4 linked regions of the Drosophila melanogaster genome follow. The protein of the gene in region 4 purifies or fractionates together with the protein of the main gene of each other region. This does not show direct contact. Each region holds a gene or a part of one and is shown on either strand. Other genes may lie near its edges.

Region 1 (4,496 bases), on a different chromosome or scaffold from region 4:
AATGGCTTAATCGAACAACCATCTTTCTTTAGGTTTAACTGAACTGATATTGTCCGACAACAAACTGCTAAATGAAATTGATGAGGAGGCTCTATCCAAGAACGTAACTGGTGGCCAGTACTTGGACTACCCGCCATTGGAAAAGGTAATTCAAGTGCAAAAGCATGTAGAGCTTTAATCAACTAAATAACATAAACTTTTAGGTTTACTTGAATAATTGCAACGTGTCGACTTTGCCGAAAGAACTACTAGTGCGCTGGGATAAACTTAAGGCTCTGGATCTTAGATTCAACCCGTGGAATTGCGACGAATCCAATGACTTCTTGATCAACGTCTTGATAGATCGAATCAACAAGACCACGCCCGTTCTGGCCAAAGATGTCAAATGTGGCGGTCCGAACAAGTTAAACGATGTTACGCTGCTCAGAGTGGCGAATGAACATATGATAGAAAGTTCGACGGGCAGTCTTATATGGGTTGGACTCTTGGTTGTCCTGCTCATCGCGGTGCCGACCATCATTGGTGCTTACGTGATGAAGAGGCGCGGCTGCTTTGGCGTCTTTAGACGTCATGACAGCGGTGCTAGCAGTGCTCTCTATAATAGGACTAGTTTCAACGAGGATTTCCATATTTAACTTTCTTTTTGTATAATAATTAAAGCCTTGAAGCCTTATTATTCTGTTAGAGCGCTGGTAATTTGGCGTAAATCTGTAAATACACTTACATAAATTAAGTAAACGTTGATTGTTTTACACCCTTAGTTTTATTTACGGCTATTTTGCTTTAGATTAGATACCAAGATCTCTTGTTTTAAAATTCTTAGTTAAAGTCAAACGAGAATACCGAACGTTAATTTCGAACTAAGCCCGATTGAAAACCATTGAAATAGGGATGCTCCAAAATGTCCTTGGCGGAAATGCGATGAACTGGATCGTAGATTAACATCTTTTGTATGAGATCAATACCATTCGCATCGAGATTCTTTAACTGATTGGTCAATTGGTTCGTGGACCAGCAGGGGAACGTGTTCTTATAGTCGGGTAGCGAAGTAACGCCCGGCCAAATGTCTTCGGTAGGTGTTTTCAGAATTCTGCAATCAATGAGTGTGAGTATCACAGGGAATAGAAAGTAAATTACCTGTGGTTACCTAAACATTCTAAACAACTGGTCAATTTCCGAGTCACCCTGGAATAGCGGCTTTCTCGTTGCCATCTCCGCGAATATGCATCCAATGGACCAGATATCGACGGGACAGGAATACCGGGGTGAACCCAGTAGCACCTCCGGCGCTCTGTACCACAAGGTAACAATCTCGTGCGTATAAATGCGCACCGGAATGCCAAAGGATCGGCCAAGTCCAAAGTCGGCGACTTTTATGAGGCCACTCTTGTCGATTAGTAAGTTCTGCGGCTTAAGATCACGGTGAAGTACTCGCCGACGATGGCAGAAAAGAATGGCGCTAGTTATTTGGTACAAATAGCTACGGACCAATTCACTCTCCATGTGCTTATCAACTGGCAGCGAATCCATGTATTTCTTGAGGTCCATCGATAGGAATTCAAAGATCAAGTATATGCGGTTCTCCTCCATCAAAACATCCTCCAAACAGACAATGTTTTCATGTTTCAACTCCTTAAGCAACGAAATTTCTCTGTAATGGATATTAAATATTACTACATTATAGAAAAAACATGTGATTAAAGTATTTTAGTTATTGGTCTATCAGTTGAACCAGAAAGTATTCGCAGGCTTCCAATTAATAAACATAAATAGAAAGTATGATGATGTACACATGAGCATAAGTACGCATATAGGATTGTACATACACACACATATGTATGATGAACATAAGCCGTAACATAATTATGCTAGACTTCCACAGTATAAATTAAAAACAATATTGCAAAATCTTCAAACCAACCCATAAGATGTCAAGGAACATACTTTCAATTAAGCATATAAGCCATTTGAATGGAAAAGTCGCGAAAGAACATGAAACATTTTGAGGCTTGGGCGTCCAAGCCGCGGCATTTTACCTGATCGCGGTTGATGGAACGCCTTCGTCGTCGGACTCCAAGCGGATTTTCTTCATTGCCACAATTTGGCCCGTCAGGCGGTTGCGACCCTTATACACCACGCCATATGTGCCCTCGCCAATCTTCTCAATTTTCTCAAAATCCTCCATAATTTATTAAGCTATTTCTTTGCAAGCCACCGACTTTTAAATTAGCGCGTTTTTGACGTATATGCTCTAGTATTACCAGACAGTTTAAACGATGCTAAGCTAGCTACATTTATTCATTTGGAATGTGGGAATGAAACTCAATATTCAGGCAACTTATTGAATTGCTGTATCTTAAAAATGTTGTTAATTTTTTTAAAGTTAATTTTAGTGTACTGTAAAATTCCACGCTTTTTTTTATAGTGATTTCAATTAATTAAGACATCACTTTGTTTGAGTTCGGAGACAAACGTTTCTGCTAATATACTATTAATTAACTTATGAGTTTTTGGTGCAATTAATTTCTATTTTATATCTTTTGAAGGTGAGTACCAGTAGTACGGTACTAAAGAAATTAATTTAAAAAATGTAATTGGAATACCGCAACTGTTTTACTTCATTTTTGTTGTTTCAAAATTACTAAGCTCTTTGTCGATATCTTGACACACCTATATGCATGCCGCAAATGTGCATAACATATATATAACATAGTTTTTTTATTTTTTGCCGACACAGCAGACGATGTAAACATGTCGCTTTTAGGTAGGATTGCAGAGAAAACTTCAAGGCTCAGGTAAGTTAAACTTCTCTAAAGTGTTACTTATCTCTAAAAACACAAATGACTGATCACCCATTTGTTTATTGTAGCTGCCTTCGATTGATGTCGGTGTATCCCACACACTATGTCGAACCAATTGTACAAAAATATAAACAACTAGAGCAAAAGAATGATCTGTCCAAGCTTTACCATGTGCCCATCAAGGCGGCGGTCAACAAATCGTCTGATACCATCTTTCACGACGATACAAAACATAAAATGATCAATTATATAACGAAAAAGGGGAACAGTGCCTTGGCCAGAACGCTTTTGTCCAAGACGCTGGAGCTAATAAAACGAACCCAGACGGAGCACATGAATCTGGCCAAAGGGGAGAAGACAACCATAAACACCAATCCCGAAACGCTTCTGAAACAAGCGGTTGAAAACTGCCGACCGCTCCTTCAAGTGACCGCCATAAAACGTGGTGGTGTCACCTATCAAGTCCCTGTTCCCATCACCACGAAGCGGTCATATTTTCTGGCCATGAAGTGGCTCTTGGAAGCTGCCCGCGAGAAGGAGCGTAAGGTGTCCCTGCCGGAAAAGTTGGCCTGGGAGATTCTCGACGCAGCCCATGGCCAGGGAAGGGTCATCAAGCGAAAGGACGATCTGCACAGGCTGTGCGAAAGCAACCGCGCCTACGCACATTACCGATGGAGCTAAATGCACAACAAACTGTTTTTCCAATGCAATAAACTTTTCATATACCTGTTAATATCTATGATTAGGATTTGTGTCCGGGGAATGTCTTAAGAGAGCGGAATATCGAAATAATTCCTGGATTTATGGGGACTAAAAACGAGGACCTTAGTAAAATTGTATGAAGCTATGATACCATTATAAAAACACATTTCTAATATTTTTTCTTTATTTTTCCTTATACGTTGTTTATAGTAGATTTGAAAATTGGATTTTCCAAATGGTGTTATAGCTATTGAAACCCAAAGTTTTTCTTATTACACTTATACTAAGTTTTTATATAAATTTCTTCAACCCATTTACCTGGTTCGTCGTGTTTTAAGCTTCTGAATTTAATTTAAAATTATAGCACAGCTTAATAACAGAGTCTACTCTTTTTAGAATTTTTCTATTTAATTTCAGTATAAAATGCAATTTTATACAAATAAATTATCCTGATTGTCTCAAAAACATATTTTTTCAAGTGCAAAGTTAAAAAATGTAACCTGTTTATCGCGCAACGACAACGGTGTAAACAGTGCGTTAAGGTTGTCGAGGTGTACGTCTATCGAAGGGACTATCGATTCTTATCGAATCGCAACGCTACAGATGACGCACGAAGAGAACAAAGATGGCGATCCCGAGCACACGAAAATTAAAACGAGCTGAATGATAAATAAAGAATTTTTTACCTATAGTTGAAATTCGCATAAGCGCAGTGAACTAAAATAGTTAATAGAAGTGTCATGCATATTTGCAATGTGTAAACGAAGAGTTTATCGCAAAACGGTTTACTTTAGCTGTGCATTTTGATATAATCCCAAAACACATAATCGTACTACTAGTTGAAGTCGACTGGACGACATTACAAAAAAAAAAGTTGGGTAAACTTATCAAACTGTTGTTGAAAACACAAGGATTCTCGGTATTAATACGAAAGAGATATGTATATGTAATACATACGCTGCTGGTGGCTCAACGTCAACACTCGCTGCAACA
Region 2 (6,997 bases), on a different chromosome or scaffold from region 4:
TTCCATGCGCAGCAATGCGGCCATCGTGGGCCCCACGTATTTCTTTATTGCCATGTATAGCTGGGGTTTGCTTAGAGAAAGAGCAGTGGGTTTGATTGCAGCTGAAGTCCACGGGGACTCCGCTTGCAGTCGTTTTAGTTTGGCATTCTCCTCAGACAGCTTTTCAAACTCGGCCTGCAGTTTATCGTACTCCTGAAGAAGCTTATCGCGATGGGCATCTTCCGATGAAGATGGTTTTTCATCTGGTTCAGACTCGTCCTCACTGTCAGTACTAAGTGGTATGTTCTCTTCAAGGTTTAGAAAAGATTCAGATAAGGTTTCGGAAATGGAATCACTCTGACTATTTTCTTTGCTAGAACTAAGATTAATTTGGATGGATTGGGTGGGTTTCTCCAACATCGGAGTCTTCTGCTCATCCCAGAATTTCTCTTGCAATTGTGTATATCGGTTCAATATCGTACCGTTCTCAGGTGAAGCGTGGGAGTCAGTCTTTTGTGCTTCTTGGGGTAGCTTCCTTTTCTTAGCCTGCTCCTTGGTGGATTCATCTTCGTTCAGTCTATCAGCATCTGCCTCCTGCATCCCACGTTTTCTAACCACAGTCCCTTTAATTGGTCGGTACTCTTTTCTAGTTGGCACTTGCTTTTCTTGACATTTATCGGCAAGCTTTGGCATTTTCATAACGTCAATAATACAACTTTTTGATTTAATTTGCTTTTCTGATTCCTTGGTGACTGTTCGCATCTTGCTTGTATCATCAGTTTGTTCTTTTGGGAGCTGCTCTTCAAGCTGAAACAACTCATTCTCGCTTCCTGATTGACGCTTTACTGGTCTTTTAATCAATTTGATGCCCAATGAAGGCTGAAGTTGACTTATGATATCTAGAATGTTTTGAGGCATAGCCGAAGCGCTTGTTGATGTTGTAGAACTCTTATGCGCCACCGTTGTTTTCTCCGTGTGTACAACCGGCTGTTCCTGCTCCGTAGCCAGCACTTCGTCGGCTTCGTCTTTCCCTTGCGGTTCCTCCTCTTCTGTCAACTCTACTGTATTTCGTTTCTTAACAACATCCAAATTCTGTGTCTCACCATCCACGAATCCCAGAGGACACTCGAAATCTTTAGGTGGTATTAGGTGTTGCTGCTTTGGAGGCGTCAACTTCACGAGAAGAGCTTCACCGTTCTGGTCGAGATTTTCATAGTCTAGTGCCAGATCCCTGTTGATCCTGAACAAAGTGGGCGTCTGCATTGGGATGAGTCTGTCCATTTTGTAGTTCATGAAGCATTCCGCTCGAAAGTGCCGGGCACAAACTGTTTTGGCTGCCAGTTTGGACGGCGGTGCATTTGAAACGTCAGGGTTTGAACAATTCCTGACCCAATCTTTCAACCTCTTCGGATCCTTAACGGGGAACTTGAAGAAGTGCATATTGGGGTTGCGGCTAGAACCCACCGGACAATCACGAAAACAACACTTAGTGCCGCCCATTTGTTTAAATATAAGCAAACAACTTTTATGTTATTAGTGGTGGAAGTGTTAGCGTCAGCTGGTGATATCGATGGGAGGCATCGATAACAGAATTGACCGAAACCAAATGATCGATATGACACTTCTTAATTAATGAGAGATTTTTTACTTGACTGGGCTTGTAGCAGGTTTTGCACAGAAGCAATTATTTTCCGGAATGTGAAATGTCTGCTTTTTAGCTAATTACAACAAAAACTTTCCAATTTTTGTTCCCCAAACCCACTCAAGTGATTTCAAATTTTACCGTCCGCTTAAAATGGAACTAGTTTATTCCAGAGGAACCAGCTTGCACCACCAAGTCTCTGAAACTCTGGAAATATCGATAGTCTGGTGGAGAAAAGTATTCATAAATATAAATAAAAATTAACAGGTCATAAGCTGATTTGTTTATTATTTACTGTTAAAACAAGTAAAATAATATTGGGAACAATTAAATTTTCCATTTTCCTAATTACAGTATAAGCCTAGTGGGCGTTTTGATATCCAATTGTAATGTTTTAAGCAATCCCAGTGGGCTTTGCTCAATCGTTCGGACCACTTAGACGAATTTCCACCAAACTTAGTTCAGTATAATTTTTGAATTCGCCCGCACAGGTTGCGCACTTTTCGACCGTATCACAACACTGATCTACCCTAGTATTCACAGGAAGTTGCATCCCTGGCATCCAGAAGCCTCTAGAAGTTTCTAGAGACTTCCAGTTCGGGTCGGGTTTTTCTATAAAAGCAGACGCGCGGCGTTTGCCGGTTCGAGTCTTGAAAAAAATTTCGTACGGTGTGCGTCGTAACAACAAGCAGCGTCTGAAAAGTTTTGTGAATTTCCAATTCTATACAAAGCAAAGTGAAAATATCTGTATTTTTACCTTTATTCTGTGAATAGAACGAAAAACATACATACAAGGTGAGTAATGCAAATTACAAGAAAAGAGTGAATAGTTTATCAGTGGCTATGGCCAAAATGTGCATTTTGCGTGGTCCTGTGCATCTCGAATGTTCTTGACCCAAATGTGAGATATTGATTTTAAATTTCTAGGAGCCAAGTTTAAGAATTTTTTTTGATTAATTAAGAGGTGGCAACGTGCAAATTAACTCAAAATGCCGGTTTCTTTTATTTTTTGTCGCTTGGACGCATCTTCCAGAGGTTTCTATGCTTTAGCATGAATTAAACATCGTGCCAAATAGGCCTTTTAATTATATATTACTGTCCTTTATTTACAATTACATGTGGTTTATAGAATACAAGATTAATTTTTGTTTAATGCAATGGTCTTTTAGCGCTAAATCGAATTATGCCGCTCTTTTTAGGGGGTGACAATGCGCAAATCACATTTGCCGCTCGAGAATGTTCTAGAGGTTTCTATGCTTTAGCATGAATTAAACAGCGTGCCAAATAGGCTTTTTAATTATAAATTACTGTCCTTCATTTACAATTACACGTGCTTTCTTTGCATTCCCATTTTAAATTGCACATGCCGCATACGCACACATGCACGCCCATGACTAATACTTTCAAGTAAAAATGTGGCGTCAGTAAGCAAATTCTGTTAAATCGGTTTTTTAATCCTATTTGCTCTATTTTAATTGGTTGGTTGCTACTAGCAACTTGCTAGGCGAATTAGTTTTCCTTTGGCTTCTAGATGCTTCCACAAACTTCCTTGGTGAAGTACGAATTTTCAATGCAATGCTCACTCACACAGACACGAGTTTGCACACAGCAGGGGTAGAAAAATTATCAACCGACCCAATTTGCATAATTATATTTAAATATTTAAATTTAAAACATTATTTTGCAACTTAAAATCAATTCTGTTGGCTAATTGAAATTAAAATTCCATTTTACGGGTTGCAAAGTGAATGCTATAATTTTGACCACCACTGTACTTGTATATGCGCATGTTAAATGAGGCATGTGCAAAAGAGAAAGAAAGAAAAAGAATAAAACCGGAGCAGCTGCTGAAAATGCAGCTGCTTTTCCTTAGTGTTGAACCCACAGACTATAACTAATCCTAATGATTTTGTAAATCCATTGCAGATGCCAGAAGAAGCAGAGACCTTTGCATTCCAGGCTGAGATTGCTCAGCTGATGTCCCTGATCATCAACACATTCTACTCGAACAAGGAGATTTTCCTGCGCGAGTTGATCTCGAACGCTTCCGATGCCCTGGACAAGATCCGCTATGAGTCCCTTACTGACCCCAGCAAGCTGGACTCTGGCAAGGAGCTGTACATCAAGCTGATCCCTAACAAGACGGCTGGTACTCTGACCATCATTGATACCGGTATCGGTATGACCAAGTCCGACCTGGTCAACAACTTGGGAACCATTGCCAAGTCCGGAACCAAGGCCTTCATGGAGGCTCTGCAGGCTGGTGCCGACATTTCCATGATCGGTCAGTTCGGTGTGGGTTTCTACTCCGCCTACCTGGTCGCCGACAAGGTGACTGTCACCTCCAAGAACAACGATGACGAGCAGTACGTGTGGGAGTCCTCTGCCGGAGGCTCTTTCACAGTCCGTGCCGACAACTCTGAGCCCCTGGGCCGTGGCACCAAGATCGTGCTGTACATCAAGGAGGACCAGACCGACTATCTGGAGGAGAGCAAGATCAAGGAGATTGTTAACAAGCACTCCCAGTTCATTGGCTACCCCATCAAGCTGCTCGTAGAGAAGGAGCGCGAGAAGGAGGTCAGCGACGATGAGGCTGATGATGAGAAGAAGGAAGGTGATGAGAAGAAGGAGATGGAGACTGATGAGCCCAAAATCGAGGATGTTGGCGAGGATGAGGATGCCGACAAGAAGGACAAGGATGCCAAGAAGAAGAAGACCATCAAGGAGAAGTACACTGAGGATGAGGAGCTGAACAAGACCAAGCCCATCTGGACCCGCAATCCCGATGATATCTCCCAGGAGGAGTACGGCGAGTTCTACAAATCCCTGACCAACGACTGGGAGGATCATCTGGCCGTCAAGCACTTCTCCGTGGAGGGTCAGCTGGAGTTCCGTGCTCTGCTCTTCATTCCCCGTCGCACGCCCTTCGATCTCTTCGAGAACCAGAAGAAGCGCAACAACATCAAGCTGTACGTGCGTCGTGTCTTCATCATGGACAACTGCGAGGACCTCATTCCAGAGTACTTGAACTTCATGAAGGGTGTGGTCGACTCCGAGGATCTGCCCCTCAACATCTCACGTGAGATGCTGCAGCAGAACAAGGTCCTAAAGGTGATCCGCAAGAACCTGGTCAAGAAGACCATGGAGCTGATTGAGGAGCTCACCGAGGACAAGGAGAACTACAAGAAGTTCTATGACCAGTTCAGCAAGAACCTGAAGCTGGGTGTGCACGAGGACAGCAACAACCGTGCCAAGTTGGCCGACTTCCTTCGCTTCCACACCTCTGCCTCCGGCGACGATTTCTGCTCCCTGGCCGACTACGTGTCGCGCATGAAGGATAACCAGAAGCACGTGTACTTCATCACTGGCGAGTCCAAGGACCAGGTCAGCAACTCTGCCTTCGTGGAGCGCGTCAAGGCCCGTGGCTTCGAGGTGGTCTACATGACCGAGCCCATCGATGAGTATGTCATCCAGCACTTGAAGGAGTACAAGGGCAAGCAGCTGGTCTCTGTCACCAAGGAGGGTCTGGAGCTGCCTGAGGATGAGAGCGAGAAGAAGAAGCGCGAGGAGGACAAGGCCAAGTTCGAGAGCCTGTGCAAGCTGATGAAGTCCATCCTGGACAACAAGGTCGAGAAGGTGGTGGTGTCCAACCGCCTGGTGGATTCGCCCTGCTGCATTGTCACTTCGCAGTTCGGCTGGTCCGCTAACATGGAGCGCATCATGAAGGCCCAGGCTCTGCGTGATACCGCCACAATGGGCTACATGGCCGGCAAGAAGCAGCTGGAGATCAACCCCGATCACCCAATTGTGGAGACTCTCCGCCAGAAGGCCGATGCCGACAAGAACGATAAGGCCGTCAAGGATCTGGTCATCCTGCTGTTCGAGACCTCTCTGCTGTCCTCTGGATTCTCGCTGGACAGCCCCCAGGTGCACGCCAGCCGCATCTACCGCATGATCAAGCTGGGCTTGGGAATCGACGAGGACGAGCCTATGACTACCGACGATGCCCAGAGCGCCGGAGATGCCCCCTCGCTGGTTGAGGACACAGAGGACGCTTCCCACATGGAGGAGGTCGATTAAGCGACCAGTCGAAACAAACAACCAAAATTCATTCTATCACTCGCATTCACATACACAATTTACTTGCGTTTCGAACTTTTATACTGAGTTTACTACGGCCGAGTTAAATTTTGTATTCATTAACATTTTGCCGCGTTATAAGCGACAGACATACGCTTAACTCATAAAAAAGCAGGAATAACTCGTTAAATGGTTAGGTTCTCACAGAACATTCAAGAGCAGTTGTCGTTTTAAGAACTTATAATTTAGAATCCAAGTAATTTATGTAAAAAACTAAAGACTACATACGCGCCCTAGTTGGTAGAGCTATATAAAGAATCGAGTATATATATAATTAAGGTTTGATGACCCGATCGATGATAAACATAAAACCAAATAAACAACAAGCAAATGTGTTTTAAAAATCTAACTTCTGAGCGAGTATTTATTGGGGGGAATAAACAATCTATGAATCGGATTCTTTGCGCAGCAGCTGCTCAATGGCCTCCACCGTGGACACTCCCTTGGTTATCATTATTATCTTGTTTCGCGATCGAGATCCCTTGTCCAAAGAAACGTCGCTCTTTCGAAGACCTAGAACTTTCGACAGAAACTTGACCAGTTCGGCGTTAGCTTCTCCCTCGCTGGGCGGAGCGGCGATTTGGACGCCCACTCCTTCAAAGCCAATTCCTGTGATTCCGTTCTGCTTAGCCCCCGGCTTGGCAAGGATTTGTATGCATATATTGCCGCTCTTATCGACTGAAATCGGACTGGCTTCCTTAGCCGGCATCGCTTTTGCATCGTTTTTCGCACTTTCAACGCCGGCCTTTGATTTCCCCTTGCTCTTCGACATTATTTGGGCGTTGACCGATGTAAACAAGCGGCGCATTAGCTTCTTGGCAATTATTTTAAATATTTTGTGTTTTTAAATGCATTTTAATAGCAACTAGTGTTTAATTTTGCGAGGTCTACTGGCGTCTATCAGCTGATTCGTGGAGAAAACCAGGGATGCGCACATATAGGGATGAGCATATCTCGTGAGTTCTCACTCACGAAACGAAGATAAAACTACATTTTTACATTCCATGTAACTTACAGATTGGACATGAATAGTACGATTCAAAAATGTATTTTTATTTTCCTGTTGAGTATTATTTAACGGTTTTCTAAACACATTCCCCCCGAAGTCACCACAACATGTAAATAAAAGTATTAAAACAAAATATGATTAGGTAAAAAATTATCATATATTCATCATTGTTATGTACTCATAGTTTCTTCTCTACTCGTCTTTGCATTAGAAAACAACGCTTTAAC
Region 3 (5,503 bases), on a different chromosome or scaffold from region 4:
GCACAATAACAGGCAACTTGGCACTAAACATGCCATTCAGGTACTCCAAAAAGTCCGGATCCTCGATGTCCACGCCAGCCACAATATGGGGAAAGTTTTTAAACTGACGAGACCAGTTCAGCTCCTTGTTCCAACGCTCGCTGAGCTTGACTTGCTGATCGGCACTCAGGGCCCCCATCTCCTTTATGTGCTTGGTGGCTATGTGGAAAATAAATAAACACTTAAGACTGACGCTTAAAATATCTGCCATATCGGCTAACTCAGCCGAAAGGCTATAAGCGACATATCTAATGCGGAGACCACACCAAACGCGCAAAACTCGAGCCCTCTATCACTATCAGTGGACCACCCGGAAACGCATGCCTCAGCTCGGTTTCTGGGAATTGTTGGACAACAAACATGTTCATATGTATATGTATGTTGTTTTTATGGTTTTATTATTTGGATATATACAAAATACAACAAAAAATTTATTTATTTATGAGTAAGGCTGGAAAGGGGGAGGGTGTTTGGGGGCTGGTAATGTGTGTTTGCGAAAAAGAAAATCCTTAAAATATTTATATGTATATGTATATTAGTGTTAGCCCATAAGGTGTTTATAGCTCACCAATTTCACGGCCCGTTGTTCGGTTTCGCCAATGGATCACTAGGCCGAATCCGCCCTCTCCCAGATTCCGGCACCGCTCCCAGTTCCCAAAAGAGTGCATCTTGTTGTTTTCGTTAAGCTTTATTTTATTTACGGAGCTCATTCTTCCAAGAATCTGAATCCCTCCATGGCAATCGGAAAAGCAAAACACCACAGTGATCATACAAGATTTGCGATATTCGATTGCTTATACACTAGTCATCGTTCAGCAGCAATCGCGGTCACGAGAATTTTGTTTAGAGGAGCGCTCAGCTGCAGCCACTTTCAATTGGGATGCATACCTTTAAATAAACTGGACGAATTGGGATACCCAAAAACGTTTTTAATTGAAGCTTAGAAATGGTGGCTTAAAATGTCAACTGCTACTGAAGTCACCCTTCGGTCACTATTTGCTTCACTCGCCTCAATTTTTATCGATTAAGTTATCGCAACGAAGTGACATCGCTAATCAAACAGGTTGTAAACAAAACGCTGAAAAATAACTTTAGTTTAGTGAAAATAGTAATACTCCTGCATGCTTGAGCTAAGATGCGTTTCCACATGAAGAGCGGCAGCGAGGACAATGACATTGTGGCGGCCACAGCCACTGCCGAGCATATCCGCAAGTTTGTCTTCAGCGGATCACCCGCCGAGCGACTGGAGATCAAAATACCTGAGGTAATCCTTAGAACCAGGTGTTCGTGTAGTATCTAAAGTGTCCGCCTACAGCTGCTTCAGGGTGCCTACTCCTTCTACACATGGCCTTGCGCACCAATTTTAGCCCACTTCCTGTGGGAGCGCCGACAGACACTGGCGGGCAAGCGCATCCTGGAGCTGGGAAGCGGCACCGCCCTGCCCGGCATTCTGGCGGCCAAATGCCGCGCCCAAGTGGTACTTACTGACAACTGCATTCTGCCCAAGTCACTGGCCCATATCCGAAAGTCCTGCCTGGCCAATCAACTGCAGCCGGGCGTTGATATCGATGTGGTGGGCCTGAGTTGGGGCCTGCTGCTGAACAGCGTGTTCCGACTGCCGCCTCTGGACCTTATCATTGCAGCAGACTGCTTCTACGATCCCAGCGTGTTCGAGGATATCGTGGTCACAGTTGCTTTTCTGCTGGAGCGAAATGCCGGGGCCAAATTTATATTTACATACCAGGAGCGGAGCGCCGACTGGTCCATAGAGGCGCTGCTCAAGAAGTGGAAGCTGCAGGCTTTACCCATCAGCATGGAGGACATTGGCAAGGAGTCGGGAGTGGATCTGCTGGAGTTTATGGGCGGACACACTATTCATCTTCTGGAGATCACGCGCATCGAAAGCGATGGCTCAATAAATACAACATAACAATTATACAATTGGCTTTTTTTATGCTGAATGTCAAATCTCTCTTAGTTAATGTTCTACACGGGAATGCTCCCAAACATCAAATAAATATTTGCCTGTGGTAATCGCTTGAAATCAATGTTGGCCAAATATTTGGAAATATATGTTTAAAATTTAGCGCGTACCTATCAAAGTTTTCCACCCAGCACACTAATTCTAGGTTTTAGGGGATGCTAGAGTTGTGAGTAGCGGTCACACTGGCGCAACGACGCTGTTGGAAAACTGCGAAAATTATTATTTATTTACCTACCGCGAAACCAAGTAAATTCCGCTGCACAAAAGAGGCTCGAAGTGCTGGAAACGTAGTTAAGTTATTGTTCATTGTTGCTACATTACTTGGCATCCCGGAAAGACCCCGTCGGTGTGTCTTTGTCGAATAAGTGTGCGTGCTTCTGTGTTGTGCCGTGTGTAAGTGTTGGTACGTCGTCGCCTGCGAAAAATCGAAGTTATTGCATTGCGCAGCCCTTTCAAGCCGCTGTCCCTGGCCAGCTGTAAGTCCCGCAGCTCCTCGCCCAGTCCCCGCTCTACGGCGGTACTTGGATCACAATTCTGATGGTGAGTGTGCTAGTGCGTGTACCGGAATGCACTCGGATGCATCGCGATTTTGTTCCAGGGCGTCGCAATTTGTTTGTCGCTAAAATGGGCGATATGTGCTTCATCTGCGGCTCTCAAGTTGCAGCCACTGGAAATTGATAGCCGCTGCAACCATTGGCGGTTGGGTGGAACGGTAAACGACGGCATAATCCAGACACACAGCCCACAGGAGAAACATTTGTTGTTGCCTGCGGTATGATCCGTTAATTCGAACTTGAGAGCGTCGGTGTGCGTGAGAGCTTGAAAGAGCGAAATCAAGAGAGAGGAAGAAACAAAGCGCGGGCATATCCGAATTGAAAAATGCTCTACTCAAACGTGAGCACAGTAGGAGCGCATCAAAACAATATTAAAGAGACAGATGCATGAATAATAAATGGGAGTGATGGAAAATCCACGCCTGATTCAGTCGCAGGCTTTCGTGTGCGTGTGTCACCTTTTGTAGTGGTTGTGCGGGGGGTATTTGCCGTGCCCCTGATTAATTGACTGAAAAAATAACGCGCTATTCAGCGACATGATATCACCCATCCTGGGTGACAAGCCCACCAACCTTTTCCGAAAATCCAAATTTACACTCTCCTATTTCTGCTTCTGTTTGCCAAATAACTGCACTTAGAAAACGACAATCTAAATATGGCCGACCCATTTACTTTTTTCCGCCCCTCGAGCGAAACGGATGGATGATTCTGCTTCCTTGGCCATCGGTATTTCATAGACTATTAAGCTCAATTTTAAAACATCAGCTCGATGACTCCTGACATCCGGAATAGTTCTGCTTCATTGGAAGCTTGGCTAGTTTTTCTTTTAAGAAAAATTCGATTAAAGTAGCTTTTTTATACATATTTATCTTTTTGTTTCGCAGAATGCTGCTTGAGGCTGTTTGCGACTGAGACCATTGAGGAGAACCCGAGTAGCGTACGAAACACGACACAATGGCCGAGGACACAGAGTACAAGAAGTTGCCGGTGGAGGAGCGGTGTGTCCATAAACTATGGAAAGCCCGCGTCGATGGTTACGAGGAGGCCGCAAAGATCTTTCGCGAGCTGGATGACGAGAAGTCGCCGGAATGGTCTAAATTTGCAGGGCTCATAAAGAAGATGGTAGTGGACTCTAATGCTCTGGCCCAGGAAAAGGGTCTAGAAGCGGCCCTCATTTTTGTGGAGAACAGCGGGCTGGCGGGACGCACAGTAGGCGACGTGATGACAGGCATCGTTCAGAAGTGCATTGCGGCGCCAAAGACCAAAACCAAGGAGCTCTCCGTCCAAGTGGCTCTAATGTATGTGGAGATAGAGAAGCAGGAGGCCGTCGTCGAAGAGCTGGTTAAAGGTATGGAGGCCAAGAACCCTAAGATTGTGTCTGCCTGCGTGGCAGCCACCACACTGGCCCTCCGCGAGTTCGGACACAAGGTGATCGGCGTCAAGCCGTTAATTAAAAAGCTTGCTCCGCTAATGTCTGACCGAGACAAGACGGTCCGAGATGAGGGCAAGCAGCTGGCTGTTGAGATTTACCGTTGGATCGGAGCTGCAATGAAGGCACAGATCTCAACGCTACCACAGGTAACGCTAAAGGAGCTGGAGGATGAATTCGACAAACTCAAAGGTGAACGCGTTGAACCCTCCAGGTGTGTTCAAGGATTTCTCTCTATCATTGCCTAGCTAAACCGCTCTTACTTTTAGATATCTAAAGTCCCAGCAGGAAAAGCAAGCGAAGATCGCCGATGCTGCAGCGACCGAGGATGCATATAATGGTATGAAGCCCTCGATATTACAAAAGCAGTGAATTATTGATTTGATTTTGGTTTTCGTATGCAGAGGATGATGGCGAGGCTGGCGTTGAAGAAATCGATCCTATGGATCTTCTAGACCCCGTTGACATTCTCTCCAAAATGCCCAAGGACTTCTACGATAAGCTGGAGGAAAAGAAATGGACTCTGCGCAAAGAATCGTTGGAAGTCCTGGAGAAACTGCTCACTGACCACCCCAAGCTAGAGAATGGCGAGTATGGAGCGCTGGTAAGCGCTCTTAAAAAGGTTATAACCAAGGACTCCAACGTAGTCCTCGTTGCAATGGCCGGAAAATGTCTAGCCTTGCTAGCCAAAGGATTGGCAAAGCGATTCTCAAATTACGCATCCGTAAGTAACTCTCACCTTCTTCCAAATAACGTGTTTTCATATGTGTTCTTCTATTTCAGGCTTGTGTCCCATCCCTGTTGGAAAAATTTAAAGAGAAGAAACCTAATGTTGTGACAGCGCTGCGTGAAGCTATTGATGCCATATACGCCTCCACTTCTCTAGAGGCCCAGCAAGAGTCCATTGTAGAGTCCCTGTCCAACAAAAATCCAAGTGTTAAGTCCGAAACGGCCTTGTTTATTGCCCGTGCCCTAACCCGCACCCAACCAACCGCGCTAAACAAAAAGCTGCTTAAACTTCTGACCACCAGTCTAGTGAAAACGCTTAACGAACCAGATCCAACCGTACGCGACAGCAGCGCCGAAGCTCTTGGTACTTTAATAAAGCTAATGGGAGACAAAGCGGTGACTCCTTTGCTCGCCGACGTCGATCCACTCAAAATGGCCAAGATAAAGGAGTGCCAAGAAAAGGCGGAGATTAAAATAAAGGTTGCAGGTCCAAAGAAGGAGACACGACCTGCATCTGCACCGACTGCGAAAGCTGCTGCTCCGGCTAAGACAGTGGCTGGTAGTGTGGACCCTAAGCCAGTAACCCGACCGGCCACTACAGGGGCACGTAAGGTCTTGAAAAAACCGGCGACGGTTAGTGGAGGAGGAGCTACATCTGCCCCAACTGCAGCTCTTAAAGCGGGTGGAAAACCCCTAGCCACGGAACGCGAAATAACCCCCGAGGAATTGCAAGAAAAATCCGAAGAAATTCTGCCAGCCGAAATTCTT
Region 4 (6,739 bases):
AATTAGCCACCCCTTGAACTACCTGAACGACCGCCTGTCTGCTCCAAGGCGCAGGATTCAGAAAGGAACTCGAACCCGGTGGTTCGGAGTGGTTCATGCTGTGCATATTTCGGTAACAGCAAGCCAGAAGCGAGAGCAAGAAGTTTCCAAAAAGAGAAGAAGAAACAGAGGGTACCAAGACCCAAAAACTGTAAGCCCGATTTATACGGCATGGAGTTTTTATGACGCCGATTGCCACTGGCAGCCAACATAAAATATGCCAAAAGGGAGGAGCAGCGGAGGTGCCGAGAAAAATGACTTTCTTTTTACTACATTTGTTTGACCGTAAACAAGAATTAATGAGAGTCATAAAACCGTCAAACTTAAATTTCGAACAGGCGCACAGCAAAGTCAGCAGGCCGTGTACAGTGGGCGCTCTATAAGGCGAACAAATGTTGAAACTCAAACTTTTTACCTAATGCATTAATTGCTACTAACGAAAACTATTTGAAATATTCGTTCGATAATTCGCTTATATGTTTCTTAAGAACTTAACTATAAGGTTGCCTTTATTTGGCTTTGTATCGAGTAACTACTGTACATGAGAAAAGTGAGATAGACACCCACACACACACACGCACAACCATGTGCGAGCAATGTGCTCGGCAATTACCGTTGCCCATGGAACACGGTACCAAAAAAAGGGAGAGAAAAGCGTTAAAAAGGGAAGAAGGAAAGGGAGAAGCGGAAGAGAAGTAACTGACCTGCGATCGGGAAGGTGACCTTCCCCAGGGGCGCCGACTATACATATGTTTGTATGTATGTACATAGGTGCAGGGTATACAGAGGTATATCACTGTACATATATTGTGTATTCAGGATTGATAAGAATGCAGGACAAAAGGACCTCCGTCCTTGGAAAAGGGTCTGCGTTCATCTCAGGCTGTCTGGTTTTTTTAGGGGTGTGGAAAATTTCTCACACTTATCAGCTGTCGGAAAGATTTCAAAACTAATGAAGTCACATGGCGGCACATTGCATGCAAGGTAAACACGAATATTGTTTATAAAATTATACAAAACTTTATTTTCTATGTATTGTTCAGAGACATTTTTGGGAAACATCAGTTAGTTAAAACGTGTTTTAATCGTTGCTTAGTGGTAAACAATATAACTAGCATAAGTTGTTTTTGTATGAATGTGCGAAATACATGATATAAATTACAAATAGTCTACGTCTCTTTTTTATGCGATTTATGGGAATAATTTTGCACAATTTTTTGGATTTATTCATTCCCATCGAAACTAAAAACTAACGACAAATACAATTAGTGATAGGTAGGTAGGGGATGAAATGATTTCACGGGTACAATTATAAAATATAATTCTTGGAGAGACAACGCCGATGTGTTCGGCCAGCAAATGAACTCGTTGCCCACTCTCTCTCTCGGTGTCCACCGCTCCGCCGCTCGCTCCCACTGAGATGGTGACCCAGCGAAAGGAGCTGACGGGCTCCAGTTTAGTTCGGTTCCTAGTCTTACCGGAGGAACTCACTCCCAGCGGCCGGCTCGCGAGCAACTTGTGCTCCGTGGGCAAAGATGCCGGAGCCAGCTCTTGGCAGTAGCCGAAAACTGCTCAAGGGACTCCAGCAGATTACGATATCTTAGGGATGGGTGATGCAGGTAAAGATAGTTGGCAATGCGACTACGGTAACTATACGCATTTTTTAACGAACACGAAACGAACAGAAAATGAAATACGCTACAAATTTAAAAATGAAAACAAATTAAACTAAACTAGGTAAGTCAGGGTCTTCCAGTCCGCCTTGGACCGCACTATTTCCTCTGGCTCTGGCCCACAATCGAGTCCATCAGCGCACCGGTCAGCTCCGTTCGCAGCGCGATCTTCTGGAACTTGCTGCCCTGGTACTTGTTGTAGATGGCCTTCAGCTTGGCCTGAGGAGCGTCCCGGGCCAGTTTCGCGATCAGCCGGGTAATCGGACGCAAGTGCGCGGCCGAGTATCGCGAGTAGAAGGTCAGAGTGGGCGTCCAGTGACGGTCGTTGAATCCTGTACCGGCCCGGTGGTTTCCATTGAGCAAGTGCAGCGACAGGAACAGTGAGGCAGCTGCAATCTAAAGGCGCCGCAAAAAATATTACATATACCTATGCTAAATAAAAGGGGATAGTGTATTGAAACCCACCTCCGATGGCCTGTAAGTGGCCATTTCGTAGTCCACGGAAGCTAACTCGATGAAGTACTTGGACATCGTATGGTGCTCGTCCTCGGCGCCAGCAGCCTTCGAGTAGCGTCGAAGGAAGTGAATCGGCAGCGGACGCGACAGATTACAGTCGATGGCCTTGAAGATTTGCAGCTCCATCTGTCGGATCTGCCGGGCAGTGTAGGTGTCGTCCGTGATGAAGACGAAATCTCCGATTGCCGGCGGGAACAGCTCCTCGTACTTGGTGGCTATGAAGAGTGCTGTCACTCCCACCAATTGCAAGTACGTGCGTTTGGTGTCCTTGACCACCTGCAGGTAGCGATCAATGATAGCCACCGCCAGCTGGAAGGTCTCTGCAGCCAGATGGAACTGCAGGTGGACTTCGTTGATCCAATCGATCAGCACGGCTCGCATCTTGTGGGACACCTCCTTCTGTCCGGCCAGGTGATCCTTGTGAATGGGCTGCTCCAGCTCCACCTGATACAAGTAGTCGTAGATGTCGTTTACATATTCGGAGACCAGTACCAGGTTCTCCTTGTCATTGGCATCAATGTCCTCGATTCCAGCCAAGCGCTTGCTGGAAAGGGACATGGTGGTGGGCATCGTAGATGTGGTCGTAGTGACTGCACTGTTGCCCCTAATAAGGGGCATCCTGGTCGCATCCTTTTTCACTTCCAGTGAGTCCTTCTTGGTTTCTGGCAGTTCCTTCTTGGTCTCTGCCTCTTTGCGGGAAACAGCTACTGGTTCCCGTCGAATTCCTGAAACTCCCATCACGGGTTTGGCCAAAGCGGCACGCAGTTTGGTCAGCGACTTCTTCGACAGATTGCTGTCCTCGCGCTTTAAGGTGGGCTCGTTCACGTTCTCGGAAGAACTGGACTTGACTGTAACTTTGGGGATTCAAGATGAATTGGGGTCAGTATGATGCAAGCCATTCAAAAATTGGAAATGGTAGATGATGATGATTGGTAGATGATTGCTCTTTTGCTTACCTTTAGTGGGTTCTACAGTGGTCTTGGTCGGAACGCGATTGCGCACCGAATTCGAACGCAAAAACGCCGACACGCCCCCCTCGTTGACCTTGGGCGGAACGGCGCCATTGCCATTGCCATTGGTGCTGCCCAGTGGCTGTTTCTTCCAGTGGCTGTCCACCCGAGCTTTGGCATTGCGCAGGGCGTCTGTGAGCTTGAGATCCTTGGAGCTGCTCGGTGGAGTAACCACATGTGATTGCGAATGGAATACTTGATACTGGTTCAAACACTTACTCTTTCTGTGCCGCATCCTTCGCTGCGATGGGACGACTTATGCCGCGATTCTGCAAATCGCCCAAGGCCGCGCGTTTTGTTGTTGCCTCCATGGAAGGAACCGTCAATTTCTTCAATTGCACTTGCTTGAAGTTCTCCGAAGCGTTCTATCGAATATTGTTTAATTAGTTTTAGAAAACAAATGGAGAAGTGCAACAAGTATAGTTGAATGCATATCTGCACTTTGAACCCTATTCTTTAACATCTTTAATTATTGAGCACTGATTTTAATTATTTTAAATTGTTAAAGCAAGATCAGTTTGTTGCATAATAATGACTTGATCATGAAATGCACCTTTTCAAGGGCGGCCATTTTGGGAAAAGCACCGCAAGACTGATCCTCGATTTATCTCCTCTGTGATTTGGTGCGAAAAATAGGTGTGGAGAGTACTAATTAACGGTGCAAGCACCGCCGGTAGAAAATTGCGCCAAAATGTGAGCAAGGCAACTGCAACAACGACAACAATGAGCGCCCGGGACAAACGGCACTCTTTCTTTTCCCCCTCCCTTCACACACTCATCGCACTATCGCAGCGTCCTCTTTGCCCCTCTCTACATGACCACGCTGCAATGGCGTCTCGCTGATGACGAGCCCACTAGTTTGTGACTTTACCATGACCTTTTCGCGGATGCCACGGTAATCTTAATGTTCTAGGGATCAACTCACCTCATCGCCACGCATTTTCAGTGTTGTGCCCACCATTTTGATTGCTTCTTTTCTATCTGTACAAACACAATTAACACGAAGATAGGCAGACGCTTGGCTATCACTTGGTTTGGTTGACTTTTGATCGCGTTTCTGTGACCGAACGCTTGTTTAGCTGTTGAATTTGTTGTCCGAATATATGATTACTAATAGTTTATAATTTACAAGTCGAGTGCGGGATTGTCAATTCTCCGAAAACCTGATCGAGTTTTTGCACACGAAGCGAGGCCAAGCTGCCGTTTGAATTTGAAAATGGGAATGGGGATGGAAGTAAACTCGATGATAAATGCCGATGAGTTTGACGATATCGATTTCTGGACTTAGTTCCCTTTTAAGCCGCAGTGGCGCTCGAGAATAATCGATTTATTAGAGCAGAGCATGCAAAATAGAGATGCGATACGTGCGATAATTTTCGATAGTTTTAGTGTGACCAGTACTGGTGCACAGCTTATCGATGACAGGGCTGAAACAGTGCTACCCATAAATTTCAAATTTAAATTTAAAATTAGCCGAAAAAGAAAACGTTACAGTTTGAAATTTCTGTTAGATATTCAAGCTCAATCCATTTTATACATATTTTAAAAATGAAAACTTCATGGATTAAATTTGATAGTTGGTTAAGGTTCCCCATTTTAATAAAGCCATCGCTTTGACTGCCAGTCGTCACTCGGTTGCACCATCCATTGATTGCATCAATTAAAAGTTGATCACTTCAATTGGCTGTGTTCGGTTTGTTTTTGTGCCCCCCTGATTTGCATTCGCTGATTTAAGATTTCCTGCTGCCACAGGCCGCAGAACATCGAAACTCCGCGGCGGAAATGCAGCATAATTCTTGCCACTCCGCAGCCTTTTTTGCTGATGATCAGTGTCAAGTTTTCGTCTGCTCCATCATTTTCAAGCACTTGACCACAAAACAATCGCCATCGCCTCAGAATTTTGCCTCTGTTTTTGTTTAGTACCCCAAACTCTCCTGTTTTTTTTTTGTGGCCCTTTGCTGCGTCTTAACGGTTGGCGCATTCTTCTTCTCTTCTTCCGGCGCTCTGGCTCATTAGCATATATTTATGAGTCTGTTTGCGCTCCAAAAGTACTTTTGCGAACTCCGGCCAAAAAGCCGAACGAGAATGGAGCGCCAGCCGACGATCGCGAGCTCGAGTTTTCCGTGATTTTCACATTTCATTCGCAAAAGTGCCGCCGTCGCGAGTGGTTGCCTCGCTCTCGCCGCCTCTTTCTGCGCTTCTGTCGCCGTCTCTTTCGTCGCCACGAAAAAAGTCCTTCGATCGATCCAACGCGCATTGACCTCCAGTAAATCGTTTCAAATTTTAAATGCCCCAAAGCGGTCAGATTTCGGCGTGATTTAGCGATTTTTAGTTAAAAAATATACATATAAAGTGCTTTTCGGCTATGGACATAAAACCAGAAGATCGTTATGCTCCAGAGCCGATGATCTATATGCCGTGTGTGTTTGTTGCTGGCTGCTTAATTGTGCGCTGGCGTTTAAATAAAATCAAGTGCGTTTAAATGACAAAAGACTGGCATTATATGTACAATATATTGGCAATTCAGAACTGGAGCTGGAGCTAAAATAGCATTTTTCAAGCACCATTTGGTCTTATCTCGAGTGTCGATCCATAAGGAAGAACTTAGGCAACAAACTAAAGTACACCAGCCACTAAAATAAAACGAAACATAAATAAGATAGAGTGCAAAAAAAAAAAAAAAGTGGCCCACAACAAATGACTCGTAATGCAATGCCTGGGCAATTAATTAGTGCATAAACATTTGAATTAACAGCCGTAAAAGTTGGAGCCCCGTACACGATCGCGCCTTCATTTGGCTCTCTCTCCCCTTTTGAGAAATCGGGCTCCAAGTTTTCCACCCTCGATTTTCGCCGCTGGAAAATGTAACTCCGCTACCACTGAAAATTATGACGCAAAAAAACCGAAATCGGTGCGCAGCCTGAGGAATAATATATTTGCAATTTATGCAACAATCGTCGCGTGGTTGTTGCCACAACAAAGAGCGATTAGTGCACTAGGAGCATTACAATAGCCACCTGTGGAGTCCCAGAGAAGCCGTCATCATCAACGCATCGTTATGACTGTCGCAGCAATTGGATCTAATCGGCACCGTCGTTTGGCTTTAATTGTTTTGACCACCTTGTGGCTGCTAATCGGGGCCAGCAGCTCCTCATCCTCCACCTCCTCCACCAATCCAAAATCCGTCAACATTGAGCTGCGTCGCAAGAGGAGCTTGCACTACAATGGCATTGAGGTGAGTCCCGATATCAATCAATGCTGCCTCATTGTCGTCCAATGAATGGCACTTTGGCTTTGTGGCTGCACGACGAACTGCAAAAGTAGAACATCTTTCATTGCAACTTAAGGCTTATCAACAAGGAATGTCTTTAGTTATTATATTCTTAAGGTCAGGCTTGAATCATGTGACAATTGTATTTATGGTAAAAGTTTACGTTTGCGGTGAGTCAGGATATTAATCAAACTATTGCTGTGGCCTCAGAGTAGAATGATAAGCGATAT

What was found.
Region 1: the proteins of CycB (region 4) and Cdk1 purify together in Drosophila melanogaster (affinity purification with western blotting; 8 studies listed by BioGRID, with this or other methods). This does not show direct contact.
Region 2: the proteins of CycB (region 4) and Hsp83 purify together in Drosophila melanogaster (affinity purification with western blotting; one study listed by BioGRID). This does not show direct contact.
Region 3: the proteins of CycB (region 4) and msps purify together in Drosophila melanogaster (affinity purification with western blotting; one study listed by BioGRID). This does not show direct contact.

What each region holds. Positions count from the first base shown.
Region 1 is NT_033779.5:10,383,993-10,388,488, forward strand, and holds Cdk1 (Cyclin-dependent kinase 1), read right to left. Parts: upstream 2,271-4,496; 5' UTR 2,186-2,270; coding exon 2,037-2,185; intron 1,652-2,036; coding exon 1,148-1,651; intron 1,091-1,147; coding exon 850-1,090; 3' UTR 747-849; downstream 1-746. Other genes in the region: CG5096 (uncharacterized protein), read left to right, coding at 33-145, 204-635; mRpS7 (mitochondrial ribosomal protein S7), read left to right, coding at 2,752-2,795, 2,870-3,482. UniProt on the Drosophila melanogaster protein: Plays a key role in the control of the eukaryotic cell cycle. Required for entry into S-phase and mitosis.
Region 2 is NT_037436.4:3,190,952-3,197,948, forward strand, and holds Hsp83 (heat shock protein 83), read left to right. Parts: upstream 1-2,017; 5' UTR 2,018-2,416; intron 2,417-3,547; coding exon 3,548-5,701; 3' UTR 5,702-6,108; downstream 6,109-6,997. Other genes in the region: CG14965 (uncharacterized protein), read right to left, coding at 1-1,479; CG14966 (uncharacterized protein), read right to left, coding at 6,147-6,569. UniProt on the Drosophila melanogaster protein: Molecular chaperone that promotes the maturation, structural maintenance and proper regulation of specific target proteins involved for instance in cell cycle control and signal transduction. Undergoes a functional cycle that is linked to its ATPase activity.
Region 3 is NT_033777.3:16,048,614-16,054,116, forward strand, and holds the start of msps (mini spindles), read left to right. Parts: upstream 1-2,187; 5' UTR 2,188-2,563; intron 2,564-3,264; exon of another isoform or gene 3,265-3,303; intron 3,304-3,461; 5' UTR 3,462-3,531; coding exon 3,532-4,220; intron 4,221-4,275; coding exon 4,276-4,346; intron 4,347-4,410; coding exon 4,411-4,730; intron 4,731-4,789; coding exon 4,790-5,503. Other genes in the region: IKKbeta (I-kappaB kinase beta), read right to left, coding at 1-198, 608-707; CG5013 (uncharacterized protein), read left to right, coding at 1,175-1,303, 1,355-1,969. UniProt on the Drosophila melanogaster protein: Binds to the plus end of microtubules and regulates microtubule dynamics and microtubule organization. Function in neurons is essential for adult survival, and is important for climbing behavior and activity.
Region 4 is NT_033778.4:22,802,483-22,809,221, forward strand, and holds CycB (cyclin B), read right to left. Parts: upstream 4,467-6,739; 5' UTR 4,200-4,466; coding exon 4,164-4,199; intron 4,018-4,163; exon of another isoform or gene 3,810-4,017; coding exon of another isoform or gene 3,792-3,809; exon of another isoform or gene 3,604-3,791; coding exon 3,458-3,603; intron 3,394-3,457; coding exon 3,185-3,393; intron 3,083-3,184; coding exon 2,178-3,082; intron 2,109-2,177; coding exon 1,812-2,108; 3' UTR 1,039-1,811; downstream 1-1,038. Other genes in the region: stl (stall), read left to right, coding at 6,297-6,473. UniProt on the Drosophila melanogaster protein: Essential for the control of the cell cycle at the G2/M (mitosis) transition.